Oryza sativa Japonica Group: one gene and its partners. The protein of the gene in region 1 binds, or shares a complex with, the protein of each later gene. Links are inferred from orthologs where the notes say so. Each region holds a gene or a part of one and is shown in the gene's direction. Other genes may lie near its edges.

Region 1 (8,037 bases):
ACATTTTTCAGATACTGGACAACTAGGACTACATTTTTCAGATAATGGACAACTAGGCGTATATACCAGGAGCGGTTTGAAGACAGATTTTAACTATTTTCGATACATACAAATTTGTAAACAATGTCATATCTACATATTTGGTGAAAAATGTCATATCTACATACCAAGGGAATGGAATCGATTGCAGAAACAACTGAAGATAGAACCCATAGGACAACCAAAGCACCGGATCCATAGAGGACAAGAGTTGGTGTCACTTGGATGTCCAGCTGAAATGAACGATTAAAAAATTTGTGTGAGCAACAGTACTAAATGCAGTACAGCAAAGGCGTTTCAATGCCTCATCCCGTATAGCAAACACAAGAACAGGCAAGCTGAATATATGGAAATGGATGCAGGAAAGATGAGATTATGGTGATACATACACTCGCTTCTGAGTTAACAGAAATAGAAGGAAAAAAAACAATGTGGTACGCTATACATGAAACAATCAAACTTCAATCCATAGCAAGAAAACTATGGCATATGGCATTTGTTTCTGTCTATCATGTGTTGGGGTTTAGAGCTCTGTCTCTGCAAACCTCATGCTAGGTCCTAATCACCCAGCTCACAAACTCTCACATTTTGGTACACGAGTCGGTGACTGAACTCAATTTTACATTTTGAGATCTATCAAGTATGCATTTGTCATTGGATTCTTCACCATACTTCTGTATGCAATATTCTTCAACTCGTCTCTCCTCTCAATCATTTGACAGCAACAGGTAATTGGGCATTGATATGTCAGAATTGGCGATCAATTCAGAAACATCAACAGGTACAACGAGGCAATACCTTGCTGAGGATGTCATCCAAGCCGCCGTCCTCCTCGGCTGCCCCCGACGACACCGGCGCCGCCGCCACGGTCTCCAGAGACCCGCCATTAGAGACCGCCGCGACCTCCTCGCTCTTCTCCTCCGCCGGCGGCGGATCGGGCTTGTCCTCCGTGACGACGACGGTGGACGCCGACGCCGACGCGGGCTCCTCCGATGGCACCGGGTCCGGCGCCGCCGCGCTCGCGCACCGCCATCCTGGCGACAACCATCACCAACAGCAAAACCGTCAGAAAGATAATCAATCAATCAATCAAAAAAAATCGTGGCGCGTTCGGGCACCTCGAGTCGGGAGGTGGCGGTTGCTGCGGCGGAGGGTGGCGGCGGCGGCGACGGCGGGAGGAGCAGCGCGGCGGTGGTGGAAGGAGGAGGCGAAGCATAAGGGGGCGGTGGCGCGCGCGGAGGCGACGGTGGAGACGAAGAGCTCCATTTTTTTTTTCTCTTCCTCGGCTTTCTGTGGAGGCCCGAGAAGGCTGGGGGTTTGAGGTTTTTGTGAGCTGGGAGGAGGATGAGGGTGGTGGTGGGCTAGTGGCTCAGTGAGACTGTGCGAGTGAGCTGTGCACTACTACTACTTGTGCTGATGCTGTCCGAATTTTTCTTTTCTTTTTCTTTTTCTTCTCTTTTTTCACACACCCTGATTTTTTGTTTGTGCTTTTGGAGGGTGACATGTGGCGCTTTCTCTTTTGCTCGCTCCTTTTCTCTGAGTACCACCTGTGTGTGTGGTGTGGTTTCGCATTCTTTGGATGGATCTACTTTCATTTTCATTCTTCTTTTTCTGGTACAATTATACTCCCTGTAACTGTAGTCCTGTACCATGCAATTTAACTGTAGCATAATTCGTATTCTAGAAGATTTTGGCCTGTTAAAATACAAACAAATTGATAGTGTCCGTAGTACATGTGGAGTAGTATGTGCTGCCCATTTAGATCGAGTTGTCTGGGTACTTCCACGCCACCATTTTTTCCAAGTCCATAAAATATTTTCTATTTATTTTAGTACGGCAGATTTTCATTCGCTAGCCAACCATAGAACTGACACATTACATAGGCACTTTCTCTTTTTCCTGGGATAATACATTAACATTTGGGGTAACATTTTCTAGTGGACCAAAAATTTTGTCGGCTGGTAACACGGCCTTTGAGAAGGCCCAGTACTGCAGGTATACCATTCCGTCCGGTCTCCAGCCCGCTTCCTTACGTTGTACTTAGTAGGATAATTTGGGCTGGCACAGTAAGTAGGCCTAGCATTTTCACCGACCACGCGCGTGGGCCTGGCTGGGTGGTGACAATGTGTGTCATGTGGAGCCCAAATTGGCAGATTAAACTCGTGTTAGCAAGCGAAATTAATGGGCCCACTTGTCAGTCTCATTTATTCTCGTTAAACAAACAGGCAAACATTCCGAGCCGTTAATACCGTAGCCTCGTTACTCGTTACTCACTCCGTCCAAAAAAAAATAAATCTAAAATATAGAATGTGACATATCCTAGTAGAACGAATCTGGACATATGTATGTCCAGATTTATTGTACTAGGAAGTACTATGTTGGTTTTTTATGAGACGGAGGGAGTAGCCATTACCCGTGCAGACAAGCATGGCTCCGTTCGAGCAGGAGAGATTGCTGGGAGATTGAGGAGAAAACATCTACTTTTCTACGCGCACACTTCCCAAACTACTAAACGATGCGTTTTTGGCAAAAAAAAATTCTTTTGAAAAGTTGTTTTAAAAAATCATATTAATCTATTTTTAAAACTTACAATAGTTAATACTCAATTAATAATACACTAATGGCTCACCTCACCTTATTTTGCGTATCTTCTCAATCCCCTCTTTCCTATCCTCTCAGGATTCAACCCAGTTATCATCATCACCAGTATTAATAGTTTCCAGCCCAAGGAATTATTTTGTTTCGGACTAGAAGTCTCAGACACGATGGTATTTGCTTCGGATTGGCTAAGGATTTGGTGCATATTTATCGGCCCAGCCCAAATTCTTATCGGGCCTAGCCCATCCGGTAGCCGCCATAACCCCACCGGCCACCGTGGTCAGCTTCTCTTATCGCGTTGCCCAAATAATTACACGAATCGAACCAAACCCTAGCTTTTCCTCTTCGATTCCCGATCCCCCACCCAGCGACTCGCCGGAACCCTAGCCCTAGATCCCGCGCGGCTTGCCGCCGTGCTAGCCATGGCGTCCCTCAAGGAGCTCCTCCCGACGCCCAAGGCGGCGGCGTCGACGTTCTACGACCACAGCAGCGACCCGTGGTTCAAGGAGCGGTATGGCGGGGAGTCGGCGCAATCCGACGCGGCGGCGGCGGCGGCGAAGCCTTCGGGCCCCGCCAAGCCCGTGCCGCCGTACGGGAAGCGTGGCGGGTTCGTGCCGCGGCGGCCGGAGGACTTCGGGGACGGCGGCGCCTTCCCGGAGATCCACGTCGCGCAGTACCCGCTCGGCATGGGCCGGCGCGACGAGAAGGGCGGCTCGAAGATCCTCGCGCTCACCGTCGACGCCAAGGGCAGCGTCGCCTTCGACGCCGTCGTGAAGCAGGGTGAGAACGCCTCTAAGATCGTTTACTCAAAGCACAGCGACCTCGTGCCCAAGATTGCCACGGCTGATTCCGAGGCAACCGCGGACGACGAGGAGTACCAGAAACAGATCGAAGAAACCACTGAACGAACTAAAGCTGCCTTGGAGAAGGTTGTCAATGTTCGGCTCTCCGCCGCACAGCCCAAGAATGTGCCGACGCATGATTCAGAGTCAAAGTTTATCAAGTATAAGCCATCGCAGCAATCGGCAGCCTTCAATTCAGGTGCCAAGGAGAGGATTATTAGGATGTCAGAGATGGCTCAGGATCCTCTTGAGCCACCGAAATTCAAGCATAAGCGAGTGCCCCGCGCTTCTGGATCACCGCCTGTCCCAGTGATGCACTCGCCACCACGGCCAGTGACAGTGAAGGACCAGCAAGATTGGAAGATTCCACCATGCATTTCAAATTGGAAAAATCCAAAGGGTTACACCATACCACTCGACAAGAGGTTGGCAGCTGATGGAAGGGGGCTGCAGGAGGTTCAAATTAATGATAACTTTGCAAAGCTCTCTGAAGCACTGTATGTGGCGGAGCAGAAGGCCAGGGAGGCAGTACAGATGCGATCCAAGGTGCAGAGGGAGCTGCAGCTGAAGGAGAAGGAGAGGAAGGAGCAAGAGCTAAGGGCACTTGCACAGAAGGCGCGCATGGAGAGGACTGGTGCCCCACCTGCACCTACAGGGGTTCCTGCTGGTGGTGGTAGAGGTGCTGTTGATGACAGGGAGGAAGATATGGATTTGGAGCAGCCTCGTGAGCAACGAAGGGAGAGTAGAGAAGAAAGGGAAGCAAGGATTGAGCGTGACAGGATTCGTGAGGAGAGGAGACGTGAGAGGGAGAGAGAGAGGAGGCTGGAGGCCAGGGATGCTGCAATGGGCAAGAAGAGTAAGCTCACTAGAGACAGGGATCGTGATGTCAGTGAGAAGATTGCCCTGGGCATGGCAAGCACTGGCGGTGCTAAAGGTGGGGAAGTCATGTATGACCAGAGGTTGTTCAACCAGGATAAAGGAATGGACTCTGGGTTTGCTACAGATGATCAGTATAACATCTACTCCAAGGGTCTCTTCACAGCGCAGCCAACGCTATCCACACTTTACAGGCCTAAGAAGGACGGTGATTCTGATGTGTATGGCGATGCAGATGAACAACTGGAGAAGGTTATGAAGACAGATAGGTTCAAACCAGACAAAGGATTTTCTGGTGCTTCAGAGAGGTCTGGAAAGAGAGACAGACCTGTGGAGTTTGATAAACAGGAGGAGAATGATCCCTTCGGTCTTGATCAGTTCTTGACTGAAGTGAAGAAGGGGAAGAAAGCTGTTGAGAAGATTGGAAGCGGAGGAGCCATGAGGGCAAGTGGTGGATCCTCAATGAGAGATGATTACGAGGGTGGAGGATCTGGGAGGTCCCGCATTAACTTTGAAAGAGGTCGTTGAGGTATTAGATCTGCATGTTTTGTTCAGAAGTTTCTCCATGCATTCCAAATGTTATCTGGAGGGTATTCTGTTGAGAATATCAACTTCTTGATGAGAGGACTTGATGTCTGAGTTGTCTTAATGCAACGTCTACTTCCAAGGGGCATCTTAAGGAGTGTACCTGTTTAGATCCTGTGATTATGCTTGTTGTTTATCTATTTGTGGATGGATCTGTAAGCTTAACTTATCATCATTCCATATCCCTTATATTTTGTGGTGCTTTATGAAGTCTCGATGTGTCTGGCTGACCTTACATTTTCTGGTACTGTACCAAGTCTTTAAGATGTATCTGCCTATCTGGCTGAAATACTGAGACACGGGATACATATAAATTCCGTGTTCTGTTTTTTCACAAGTTCTAATTATTTCATGCTACCATGATTGTTGGCTGGATGGATTTCTGGGTATTGCCAATATCGGTATGTTGTTTTGGGGATATTCATGTTTTGTGCAAATAGTGAATTCTTCGAAAATTTTTTGTCGGTAAGCATTTTCTGTTGCAAGACTTTGCCGGAGCATTCCCTTTGCTTGCAGTTGATGTGGTTTCTGTAGTACCAACTTTCGGATTAAATAACTTCTCTTTTGTGATTATTACTGGTAAGATCATGGCATAATTTTAAAACACTATCCATCCTAAAATAAATAAACTTAATACATGATATGATATATCTTAGTATTAGAATCTGAACAGATACACACTTTCAGTTTGTTTTGTCTTTTCCTTTAGTTATGTAGATTCAGCCATAGTGTTGTGTTTTTCTTCAGGTATGCAGATTCAGCTATAGGAAATTAGGAACACAGTGAAGAGGAAAGTTTTCATTAGCACGTTTTCTTGTGTGAAGCGCAAATAACAGGATTTTGGTGTTCTTTGATTTTGGCCAAAATCTTCATGGCATGGATGGAATTTTCTCAAAGCTGAAAACCGTAATTTTCTGACGGGCTGAGCAAATTACGCTGGCTGATAACTCCGGCCTGCTTAATGCCTAGGCCCAAACGAAGCAGCCGAGCAACCTTGAGGTTCCATCGGCACCCCTGTTCGGCTACAAAAAGCACCTCACTTTCTTCCTTGCTCATATCTGAGCCCAAGATCCTGATGCTACTCTTCCCAGTGACAAAGAGAACCTCGGTCTCTGACGAATTTTTTTCATTTTTAATTTTTTTCTTTTAATATTTACAGAAATAATCCATCGGCGCAAAAAATTACAAAAATAGACCCCTGCCGCCCTCCACTAGGGCGGCAAGCTGACGTGGCAAACGGGGGAGGGACGGGCGGTGACGGCAGACGGGAGAGGGAGGGTTTTTTTTGCACGAAAACCCTTGCCGCCCTCTGGCCCCCATGCAAAAAAGCCAGCCCGAGCCTAGTACTTTTTGGCTGGTACTTTTTACATCTGGGTCCCTTGCCGCCCTCTAATAAGACGGCAAGGGGCCTAGATGCAAAAAGTACCAGCCAAATGCTCTTTAGGGCTGTGAAAATTGCATTTAGCCCCTTGCCGCCCTTACAGAGAGCGGCAAGGGGCTAAATGCAATTTTCGCAGACGGCGGCAGACGGCGCCGTCGAGCCGCCGTCTGCCACGTTAGCTTGCCGCCCTCCATTAGAGCGGCAGGGTCTATTTTTGTAATTTTTTGTGCCAATAGATTATTTCTGTAAATATTAAAAGAAAAAAATTAAAAATGAAATAAATTCGTCTCTGACCTCACTCTGAACCCTTCTCCTTTTTTTTCAACGGCCAAACAAGATTGCTTTACGCTATATTGATAAAAGAAGTTTAAGTACAAAGTAAAAACTGAAAGAAAAAGGAAAAACTGTACATTACTGACTGCAAACTGCAAATATGCTTGCACGTCAGTCCACCTTATTCCTCATGGCAATAATCTCGTAAAGTATTTTGCGTCGGTCAACTCTAGCAACCCAACTTGTGATTGATTCTTACTCTGAACCCTTAACCCCCTCAATGCAGCCATGGCCGCTCGTAGCCGATCGATCGATCGAATCCAAAATCTCCCAAATTCAGCAGCTAAAATCAGGTTCACGTCACCATGCCGCTGCAGGAGATTCCGCACCAAAGGCAAAGAAAGAAACGTTCTTTGCTATCCAGCATATCATAGCAGCGTAGCCGTCGTCCTCGTCGTCCCCATCGATCCATGTCCTACGCGGTTATCAGGTTATCATGACACTGTTTGAATCGGAGAGCTTTGCATTCGCAACGCAAACCCAGTCGCCATCACCGAAACGAATGATCGAACTAGAGAGAGGAAGAGAGAGAAAGAGGTAGGTAAACAGATGGTTGGCACGGGCAGCGTGACGTGCACCGGTTTTCCCCCCGAGATTATATTCGGATTTGGTGTTCGCTTTATCATCGAGTACAACTGAATTGTCCCATCTTTTCTTACTACTAGCTTAAGCTGTTTTTAGGCTTCCTTTGATTCGAACAAAAATTATAGAAATTTTAAAGTATTTTATTTCTATAGAATTTTTTCATATATATAAACATTTGAATCAAATGAATGAATCCTATGAAATTTCTACGTGACCTTATTACATGCAAGTTTACATGGGAAGTTTTCTTTGAATATTTTATCTCTTCTCGAATTCATGTGTTTTTTCTACAGTCTAATTATAATCCTATGTTTTTTATATTCCTTTGCTTTTTCGTTCCTACAATTTAAAGAGTCTCAGTTGAACTGTTCGGTCTGTAACTCAGTACCGAGTCGGGTCTCATGGTGGATGGCGCTGTAGAATCAGTCGATCAAGCGAGGCGAGGCGACGGCGACCGAAAGGAAAGGCACACCGTGGTCAATGGATGGATGGACGGATCGATCTCGGCCGTCGCCGTCGCCGTCGCCTGTCACTCACCATAGCTTTTCCATCCGACGCAATGCACGCCGTTTCGCTGCGATCGATCGAGCGATCGATGGATGCATGCCCTGCCGGCCGTCTCGATCGGTTCTGAAATATCAACTTGCAAAGGCGATCGATCGATGCAGCTTACCTTTAGAATTGTCAAAACTGCATCAGCCGCTGCACGCATGGCTTGCCAATCGTCGTCTGCTATTATCTCCTAATCCTGACGAGTGGATGTGACGAAGTGTTAAAGGTGCACCGCCCCCCAAGTGA
Region 2 (3,951 bases), on another chromosome or scaffold:
ACAAATTACTTATTGTTTGTAAATGTGTCGTTTGGCTTATTCCAAGAATAAGCCAACCAATGGGGGTGCGATTTGGATGGAGATAGCATTTCATAACTCGATAATTACTCTGACAAATAGAACAGCTAAAGCAAAATCAATCAACCATTCTTTTTATTATTATTATTTTCCTATGTTGAGGTTCACACATAGAATTTTTCATTTGTAAAAGGACACACCATTTAACAGTTCGGAAAGCGTGCGCACATAAAACAAAGATTTGAAGTTGGGAAAGGGAAGAACCAAACACACCCTTAGGCCCCGTTTAGTTCCAAAAATATCAAATCGAATATTTGGACACATGTATGGAGCATTAAATGTAGATTAAAAGAAAAACTAATTACACAGTTAGGGGGGAAATCGTGAGATGAATCTTTTGAGTCTAATTAGTCCATGATTAGCCATAAGTGCTACAGTAACCCACATGTGCTAATGGTGGATTAATTAGACTCAAAAGATTCGTCTCGCGATTTCCAAGCGAGTTATGAAATTAGTTTTTTCATTCATGTCCGAAAACCCCTTTCGACATCCGGTCAAACGTCCGACGTGACACCCAAAAAATTTCATTCCGCGAACTAAACATGCCCTAATATTTGTAACATAGATGAACAATACAATTGTAAGACACATAAGGATTGTAACTCTTATATTTTCATTAAAATCTCTGTTGGGGGTGTCCATTTTATAGAAATTTTACAGGGGAGTATAGGATTGAATTATTTGTTTAAAAAAAACTCGTTAGAATTATCATTATAATTAAAATGCTCTAATTTTCTATAGGACCAAAAGAGGTCTAGGCTGTGTGTTTAGTTCTACACTAAAATTAGAAGTTTGGTTAAAACTGAAAGTTTAAAGAAAAAAAATTAAAAGTTTATATTTGTAAAAATTTTTGATGTAATGAAAAAATTGGAAGTTTGAAGAAAAAGTTGGAAAGTAAACCAAACCCTGAAGGGAAACTTTTATTTACTGCAAACCGAAAGAAAAACCAATGGCTCCAAGAAGCGCCATGTGTGAAGGCGTGAAGAGGAAGGCGGAGTTCGTGCGCGCAACCGATTCATCAACCAGATTTGAGAAACTTTCGCGTCCGCCTCCGTCCAGAACCTTCCCCATTCCACACTTCCATTTATTCTCCCAACCGCACGCGCTCCGACGCGCAGAAAGGCAGCGCCGTGACTGAGAACAAGAGAGGCCGGCACAGAGAGACGCTCTCGGCTAGGGCACGGATCGTCGCGACGAAGGAAGGTATTATTGCTGCCTCTGATTCTCCTCATGTTTTATCTCTGCTAAAGACGGTGAATCCGTTCGTTCTCTGTTCCAGTATGGCGATGGTTTGCCCCTCTGATCTGTATAAAAACATCCGTTTATATTTATTTATTTTTGTTATTCTTAATCTATATAAAGATAAATCCTAGCTGTAGTTCGAAGCGTTGCGGCAGGAGTTCCCCATCTTGGATAGCGGCTCATTTGTTAAAATGATCTGATTTGCGTGTATTTGCTTTGCAAAAGAAGAGGTATAGATTGCTAGTACATGGGTTTCTAGAGGGGCACGAAATGAAGAAATGAAGGGAACAAATTGTTGTACAACTTGTGGCATAATCATTTTTTGTCCATTGTATATGTAGTTTGAAACGCAACTGTCGAAAGTTCGAAACTTGCATAGTGCCCCTACATGCCTCGGAGGAAACTTAGGGACAGTGTTAGGAAGTCGATTTATCTTAGGGACTGTATGGTTGGAAGCTTCAATTGCTGAGCGCAATTGCATAAGTTATAGTTCATGATTACCATGCTGAAAATAAACAAAGAATCTCCTGTCTTGCAGTTTCTTGTTCATTTCGTTATGTTGGTTTGTGGATTATTTTTGGCGTGCGCTAGGTATATACTCTGGGTCATCTCTTCATTCTGAAGATAATAATTTTGTTTTGCAAAATATCTTACTGATTGGCATATTGTCACCAAGGTGTCATAAATTAATCAGTTACAACTTCAAAAGGCTATGAACCCACTGTTTGTTATAATTACATTTTCAAGTGGCATCTCATGTTTTTGTATATATTTGTTTCTCTAGTGGATATTGATGCAATCATATGTCTATCTTGCAGATGTCGTACTCCAGAGGATCAAGGTACGCATTACCAAACTTAATTTTTTTCCACATTTTTTGAAGCCCTGTCTTGTGATTATTGATTGGCTCCTACTGATAGATATGAGTCCGACTCATATTCTACATCGCCCAGACGGAGCAGCCGTTCAAGGTATAGGAGTCGTTCTAGGTATGGTATTTATCTTAGCGCTTAGTATGTTTCTGCCTTCACTCTATATTCGAGGGTGAACATTTTTGCCTACTGTAATTCTGATGAGTATGTGATATCCTTTTGATGTCTTTAGAAGTGTGGACTCAAGTGATGTTGAAAACCCTGGGAACAACCTGTATGTTACTGGCTTATCTGCTCGTGTGACAGATCGAGATCTGGAGAAACACTTTTCTGCTGAGGGAGAGGTAACCTTTATAGAGTATCTGCAAAGGGATACCAAAATAGTGTACAACTTTTTAAGCTCACCGTATTACAGGTTATTGATGCTAGCATAGTACTTGATCCATGGACAAGGGAATCCCGGGGATTTGGATTTGTTACCATGGCTACTGTTAAGGAGGCTGATCTTTGCATCAAATATCTAGACCGCTCAGTGTTGGAAGGTCGTGTGATAACTGTAGAGAAGGTATAATCACAATATATTTACTGAATTTCTTCACTTCTACTTGGAGTGAAATTTATATGCTCATTTAGCTTGCTGAGCTGAATATTTGAGTGCTCTTCCGTTTGAAGCTTTTGTTGACAGCAGCAGGGTAGATGTCCGTTGCTGCTCTACGTCAAATTCAAAAGATTTACAACCTAACAGCCAAACATGCTACCTCAACCAAAGGGTTGTATGCCCTACATTATATAGTCTCCATATTAATCATGTCGTTCAGATTCCCAATTTGTTGCATCACTCTTTAATGCTAATATGGCGAAAAGGCTTATTTGAATCCTTTCCACAGGCCAAGAGAAGACGTGGTCGAACACCAACGCCCGGAAGGTATCTAGGCACAAAATCATCATGTGGTAAGTTTGATTTAACTGCTGCTGTGTCTGGATGGTTTGGTCTCATTTCTCTGGAAAATAGGAAGCATTGCTAGCCTTTCCTGATATAATACAACTGATTGCTGAATATTTTTTATTATACAGTGACACCAGCACGGAGGTATTCCCCAAGCTACTCGCCTGTTGAAAGAGACCGCTACAGTTCACGCTACTCACCTGAGCGAGAACGGTCTTATTCTCCTTATGGTAGAAGGCGATCATATTCTCCATACAACAGGCGAAGATCATACTCCCCCTATGAGAGGCGTAGATCCTACTCTCCACATGAAAGGAGACAGTCCTACTCTCCGTATGGCAGATCCCCTTCTCCTTATGGTAGACGGCGATCATACTCTCCCTATGACACACGTGGTTCACGGCGTCGGTCATACTCATCTTACCGTGGTTCCCGCTACCGTTCAAGATCTCCATACCGTTACAGAAGAGAGAGGTCATGTTCCTATGACCATTCTGTTTCACCATACTATAGAAGGTGCTATTCTCCAAGTGCTAGAGGACGGAGCTATTCTCGCAGTGTATCACCTCAGAGGAGCTACTCCCATAGCTGTTCCCCGGATTCTCAGAGGTCAGGGAGCTATTCTCCAAGGAAAAGATACAGTGAAAGGAAACCGTCGCGCAGCAGGTCGTCGGGTAAGAGGCATTCTAGGGAGAGCTACTCTCACAGCCGCAGTTCCTACTCAAGGTCTGTCTCCAGGGAGCGCTCAGAATGAATTGAAGCTTGATGTTCTAGAGATCAATAAAGCTCTCTATGCCTAAGTGTATGTCTGTA
Region 3 (4,237 bases), on another chromosome or scaffold:
GCTGCTCGTACACCTGTATTGCCTCACTCAACCTCCCAGCCTTGCATAAGCCCTGAATCAATATGTTGTAAGTAATCACATCATGCTCAATCCCCTTTTTAACCATTTCCTCAAACATCCCAAGCGCTTCGTCCACCCTCCCATGGGTACAAAACCCTGTGACCAAAATGTTACAGCTGACTGTACTCTCCTTTAAACCCTTCCCGAGCATTTCATCATACACCTTGCGAGCCATCTCGAAATCACCAGCTTTACAATAGTAGGCCACCAGAGAGCAGTAGGCATACTCGTTAGGCTCCATTCCTTTGTCCACCATCTCATTCCAGATTTGCCGCGCTTCGTCTATGCAGCCCATCTTGCACAATCCGTCGATCGCCGTTGTGTATGTGACCGCATCGACGTTGTAGCCCCGCAGCTTGATCTCGTTGAAGACTCGCAGGGCCTCGCTTCCCATCTTGTGCGCGAAAAGCCCGTGGATAATGCGCTGGTAGATGACCGTATCTGGGACACTTCCCGCGGCGATCATGAGGTGGAGCGTCTCGGACACCTTGCCGAAGTTGGCGGCGGCGGAGAAGGCCGCGACGAGATCCGCAACGGCGTCAAGCTGGGGAGGGACGCCGCGGCGAGCCCCGTCGCGGAGGAGGCGGAGGCCGTCGAGCGGACGGCCCTCGGCGGAGCAGGCGCGCACGAGGAAGGCCACGGTGGCGGCGTCGCCCGGGAAGTCCGGGGAGGATGAGAACGCGGAGAAGAGGCGGAAGACGAGGTCGGGGCGCGCGGCGCGGAGGGCGGAGCGCATCGCGAAGTTGAGGGCGCGGAGGGAGGGGTGGATGCCGAGGCGTGAGGCGAGCACCTCGGCGGCGTCGGCGGCGTCGGGCGGCCAGAGCTGGATCAGGAAGCCGTCCACGCCGGGGAGGAGCGGCGGCTCGTGCTCGTGCTCGTGCTCGGGCTCCGCCGGTGCGGCGTCGGGGGCGGCGGGGAGGTGCGAGGAGAGGAAGCGCAGGAAGCGGAGGGAGGGGTCAGGGGAAGGCAGGAGGTGGGAGAGGGTGAGGCGGACGCAGGCCGGGTGGAAGAGGAGGTCGCCGGGGAGGAGCGAGAGGAGGCGGGACTCGTAGCGCGCCGCGCCGAGGATGTTCGCCGCGGCCGTGGCGGCCGCGGCCAGGAAGGTGGCCGGCGGCGGGTTGTTGGCGTCGGCAGCAGCGGCGGCGGCGGAGGTGGAGGTGGAGCAGAGGCGCTGCACGGAATGACGCACCGGCCGCAGCATCGTGGCGGCGGCGGCGGCGGCGCGAGGAGTGTCAAGTGTGTCACGGTGGCCGCGGCCAGGTTTGCCTACGAAGACTTTTCCAGGCTTGGAGGCGGGTCAGATGGGCCGCTGGCCCATGGGCCCATGGGCCTTCGAGTTCTCCTAGATAAAAGCGCCCCGTGCCGTGCTGCATCGTCACCTCTCCTCGCCCAAGCCTTCGTCGACAGAAAGAAAAAAAAATCCAAACCTCAGAGAAACCCTAGGCCGGGTCGCGGCGAGTCGGCGGCGATGGCCGGGTACCGGAGCCGGAGCCGGAGCTACAGCCCGCAGCCGCGCCGGAGGTACAGCCGGAGCCCCCCGCGGTACAAGCGGTACGATGACCCGCGCGACCGCTATCCTCGCGGCGGAGGTGGAGGTGGAGGTGGAGGCGAAGGGCCCCGCCGCGGGTATGGCCGGCCGCCTGCGCCGACCGGGCTCCTCGTCCGCAACATCTCGCTCACCGCAAGGTGCGTAGCCGTTGCCCTCTTTGGATTATTATTTTTTTTTTGCCCATTTGATCTAGGGCTTACCGCAATTTGAATAATTGCTAGTAGCACAGCGCTATGTGGTTTGGTTGATACGTTCAGTGTGTAATCCCTGTGAATCTGCACATTGTTTTGTTTGGTAGTTGCATTAGGCTTGGTTGTGTGCTTCTGTGCTTTTCAGTCTTATATGTGTTTTTATTTGTTGCTGTATTCAGAATAAAAAACAGAGCAGGTTTGTTTTGATGTGGAACTGTTGAGAAAATACGACGGTTTTTTTCCTGATAGTTTGTATGCCAGCAAATGCTTGCTGGACTCATGGTAGTGGGCTGTTTCACACTTGTTGCTCTCTAGGAGAGAACAAATGTTTTGGAAGCCATTCACTAAGGTTGAACATGTTGGTATAGGTAGCTTCCATATTCCATACCCTACCTTAGTAACCTAATGCATTTTTCTAATGGTTTTGCGCATTGGATGTTCATCTGTACAGAGTGCCTTGAGATTCATGCATCAGTTAGACATGCAAACCAGAATTCCCATCTTCAAATAGCTCTTATTGTACATTAAAAATTTCCTAGCACTTTAGGCCCTGTTTGGGGAGCTTGTCCCAGCTGCAGCTTTTCCCAAAAGCTGCTTCTGCTAGAAGCTGCCCCAAACAGTCCACAGCTTCTGAGAATCTGTAGTTCTGAAAAATGAACTAAGAAGCCATAAGCTGGAGAAGCTGGGTTTCAGAGCTTTTCCAGATTCTCAGAAGCTGGCTACCAAACAGCTGCTTCTCATAATCTAAAGCTCCCCCAAACAGGCAGATACAACAGTGCATGGATGTCCACATATGTGGATTAGCATTTCTCTTGCATTTTTTTGTATCATCCAAGCTTTCACCCAAATGTCTTGTTACCAGGTTTTAACAACTCAAGTGTCAGGTTGGATTTTAACTGCATATATTGAGATGGAACATTTTTCAGATCTATTATGAAGTTTTATTTCGGTAGAGGCTAAATTGTAAGCACTAAATTGTGTTCCTTTAAGTGTTCCTAGAATTAATCTAGTTCTTTTAGATATGGCTTTGTTAGCAGAACCGTTGTTTTATGAACTTTGCATCATATAATGCTGCTTATGTCTCTGGAAAACAAAAACAAATGTATGAACTCTGGATGTATTCATATTTGTATATAGACAGTGGTTGCAACCTTTGATAATTCAGATCTTGTAGTTTGGAGACATAATGCTACTGTTCTAGGTTCCCTTCTCGATAGTTTGGAACGCTCAGGATCTTTTTTTTAAGTCAACATTTTCTACACTGCAAGCATGTAGTACATAAGTAGCCAGTGCACAGTAAATCATTCTTATATACAGCTTTCCACAATCACATACTGAAGTATCTTCTTTTTGTATGTAGATGATTTTGCACTGTAGCTACTAATTATGGTTTAATATTATTTGATTTTCGTTTTTTGCAGGCCTGAAGATATTCGTATTCCGTTTGAGCAATTTGGCCCTGTAAAGGATGTCTACCTTCCAAGAAATTTCCATACAAGGTAATAATAACTTATCTTATGTTTCTTACACAATTGTTTTGGTGCATTTGAGTTCTAGTTAAGTCAATATCTTAATTCTGGAACGTTTATCATGTTGCACAGAAGATAAGCAATTCTTTGAACAACATGAAGAAATTGCGTTAATTGAACCCAGTAATTTTTATCATTATTATGAACATTTCAAAGAGCATTTGTTTCCAGGCTGCCTTATGCTTGTGCTTTGATGTTGGTCTGAACCATGTATTCTGCTTGGAAATAGGGTTTATAGATGCTTGTTGCACATTCTGTGTTCTTTTAAGAATGTCTTTTGATGTGTATATTGATTTTGTCTGATTCACAATCACTTCCATGATCGTGTTAAATTGTTGTAGGGAATTACGTGGCTTTGGGTTTGTAAAATTCCGCTATCCAGAAGATGCTGCAGTGGCCAAGCAAGAATTGAATCATCAAGTTATTGGTGGACGAGAGATTTCAATAGTTTTTGCCGAGGAGAACAGAAAAACCCCACAAGAAATGCGGATGAGGACAAGAACAAGGTGCTTAATTTTTTATATTTTACCAACTTCCAGATTAGGCATTTGGAATATATATGATAGCAGCGACTGGAATTTGATGTAACAAAAGAAATGCTTTGTGCTTCTGTCTGTGTAGTGGAAGATACATGGATGGTAGCCACAGAAGGCGGTCAGTATCAAGATCTCCAAGGTCTCGTTACCATTGTAAGTATAAATGTTTGTTATATGAGTTAATATTTTATGATTTTTAATCTCATCACTAAATGATCTCTATTTCCTGTCAGCTTATTCACCTTCACCCTCTCCAGCTAGACGTGACTACAGGTATCATCTCAATATTTTAGTATTTACATATAGCATAGCAAATACGCTTGTCCTCTCCTGTTTGTCAGTGTTTCACTCTTTTTCCTTTCAAACATCTCT

What was found.
Region 2: SNW/SKI-interacting protein A-like (region 1) and serine/arginine-rich splicing factor SR45a share a complex: the UniProt entries of both Arabidopsis thaliana proteins name them as parts of the spliceosome. The link is inferred for Oryza sativa Japonica Group from reciprocal best matches to the Arabidopsis thaliana genes SKIP and SR45a.
Region 3: SNW/SKI-interacting protein A-like (region 1) and serine/arginine-rich SC35-like splicing factor SCL28 share a complex: the UniProt entries of both Arabidopsis thaliana proteins name them as parts of the spliceosome. The link is inferred for Oryza sativa Japonica Group from reciprocal best matches to the Arabidopsis thaliana genes SKIP and SCL28.

What each region holds. Positions count from the first base shown.
Region 1 is NC_089036.1:32,487,919-32,495,955, reverse strand, and holds SNW/SKI-interacting protein A-like, read left to right. Parts: upstream 1-2,958; 5' UTR 2,959-3,059; coding exon 3,060-4,883; 3' UTR 4,884-5,315; downstream 5,316-8,037. Other genes in the region: protein CURVATURE THYLAKOID 1D, chloroplastic, read right to left, coding at 168-272, 838-1,073, 1,158-1,305. UniProt on the Arabidopsis thaliana protein: Splicing factor involved in post-transcriptional regulation of circadian clock and flowering time genes. Associates with the pre-mRNA of PRR7, PRR9, ELF3 and GI, and is necessary for the regulation of their alternative splicing and mRNA maturation.
Region 2 is NC_089037.1:8,817,989-8,821,939, reverse strand, and holds the start of serine/arginine-rich splicing factor SR45a, read left to right. Parts: upstream 1-1,151; 5' UTR 1,152-1,281; intron 1,282-2,138; coding exon 2,139-2,161; intron 2,162-2,240; coding exon 2,241-2,309; intron 2,310-2,424; coding exon 2,425-2,536; intron 2,537-2,607; coding exon 2,608-2,757; intron 2,758-2,864; exon of another isoform or gene 2,865-2,962; intron 2,963-3,079; coding exon 3,080-3,143; intron 3,144-3,266; coding exon 3,267-3,892; 3' UTR 3,893-3,951. UniProt on the Arabidopsis thaliana protein: Probable splicing factor involved in constitutive and/or alternative splicing events. May bridge the 5' and 3' components of the spliceosome.
Region 3 is NC_089037.1:14,526,418-14,530,654, forward strand, and holds the start of serine/arginine-rich SC35-like splicing factor SCL28, read left to right. Parts: upstream 1-1,437; 5' UTR 1,438-1,528; coding exon 1,529-1,746; intron 1,747-3,221; coding exon 3,222-3,299; intron 3,300-3,670; coding exon 3,671-3,835; intron 3,836-3,950; coding exon 3,951-4,018; intron 4,019-4,098; coding exon 4,099-4,138; intron 4,139-4,237. Other genes in the region: pentatricopeptide repeat-containing protein At5g18950, read right to left, coding at 1-1,261. UniProt on the Arabidopsis thaliana protein: Involved in intron recognition and spliceosome assembly. Probably active at the 5' splice sites.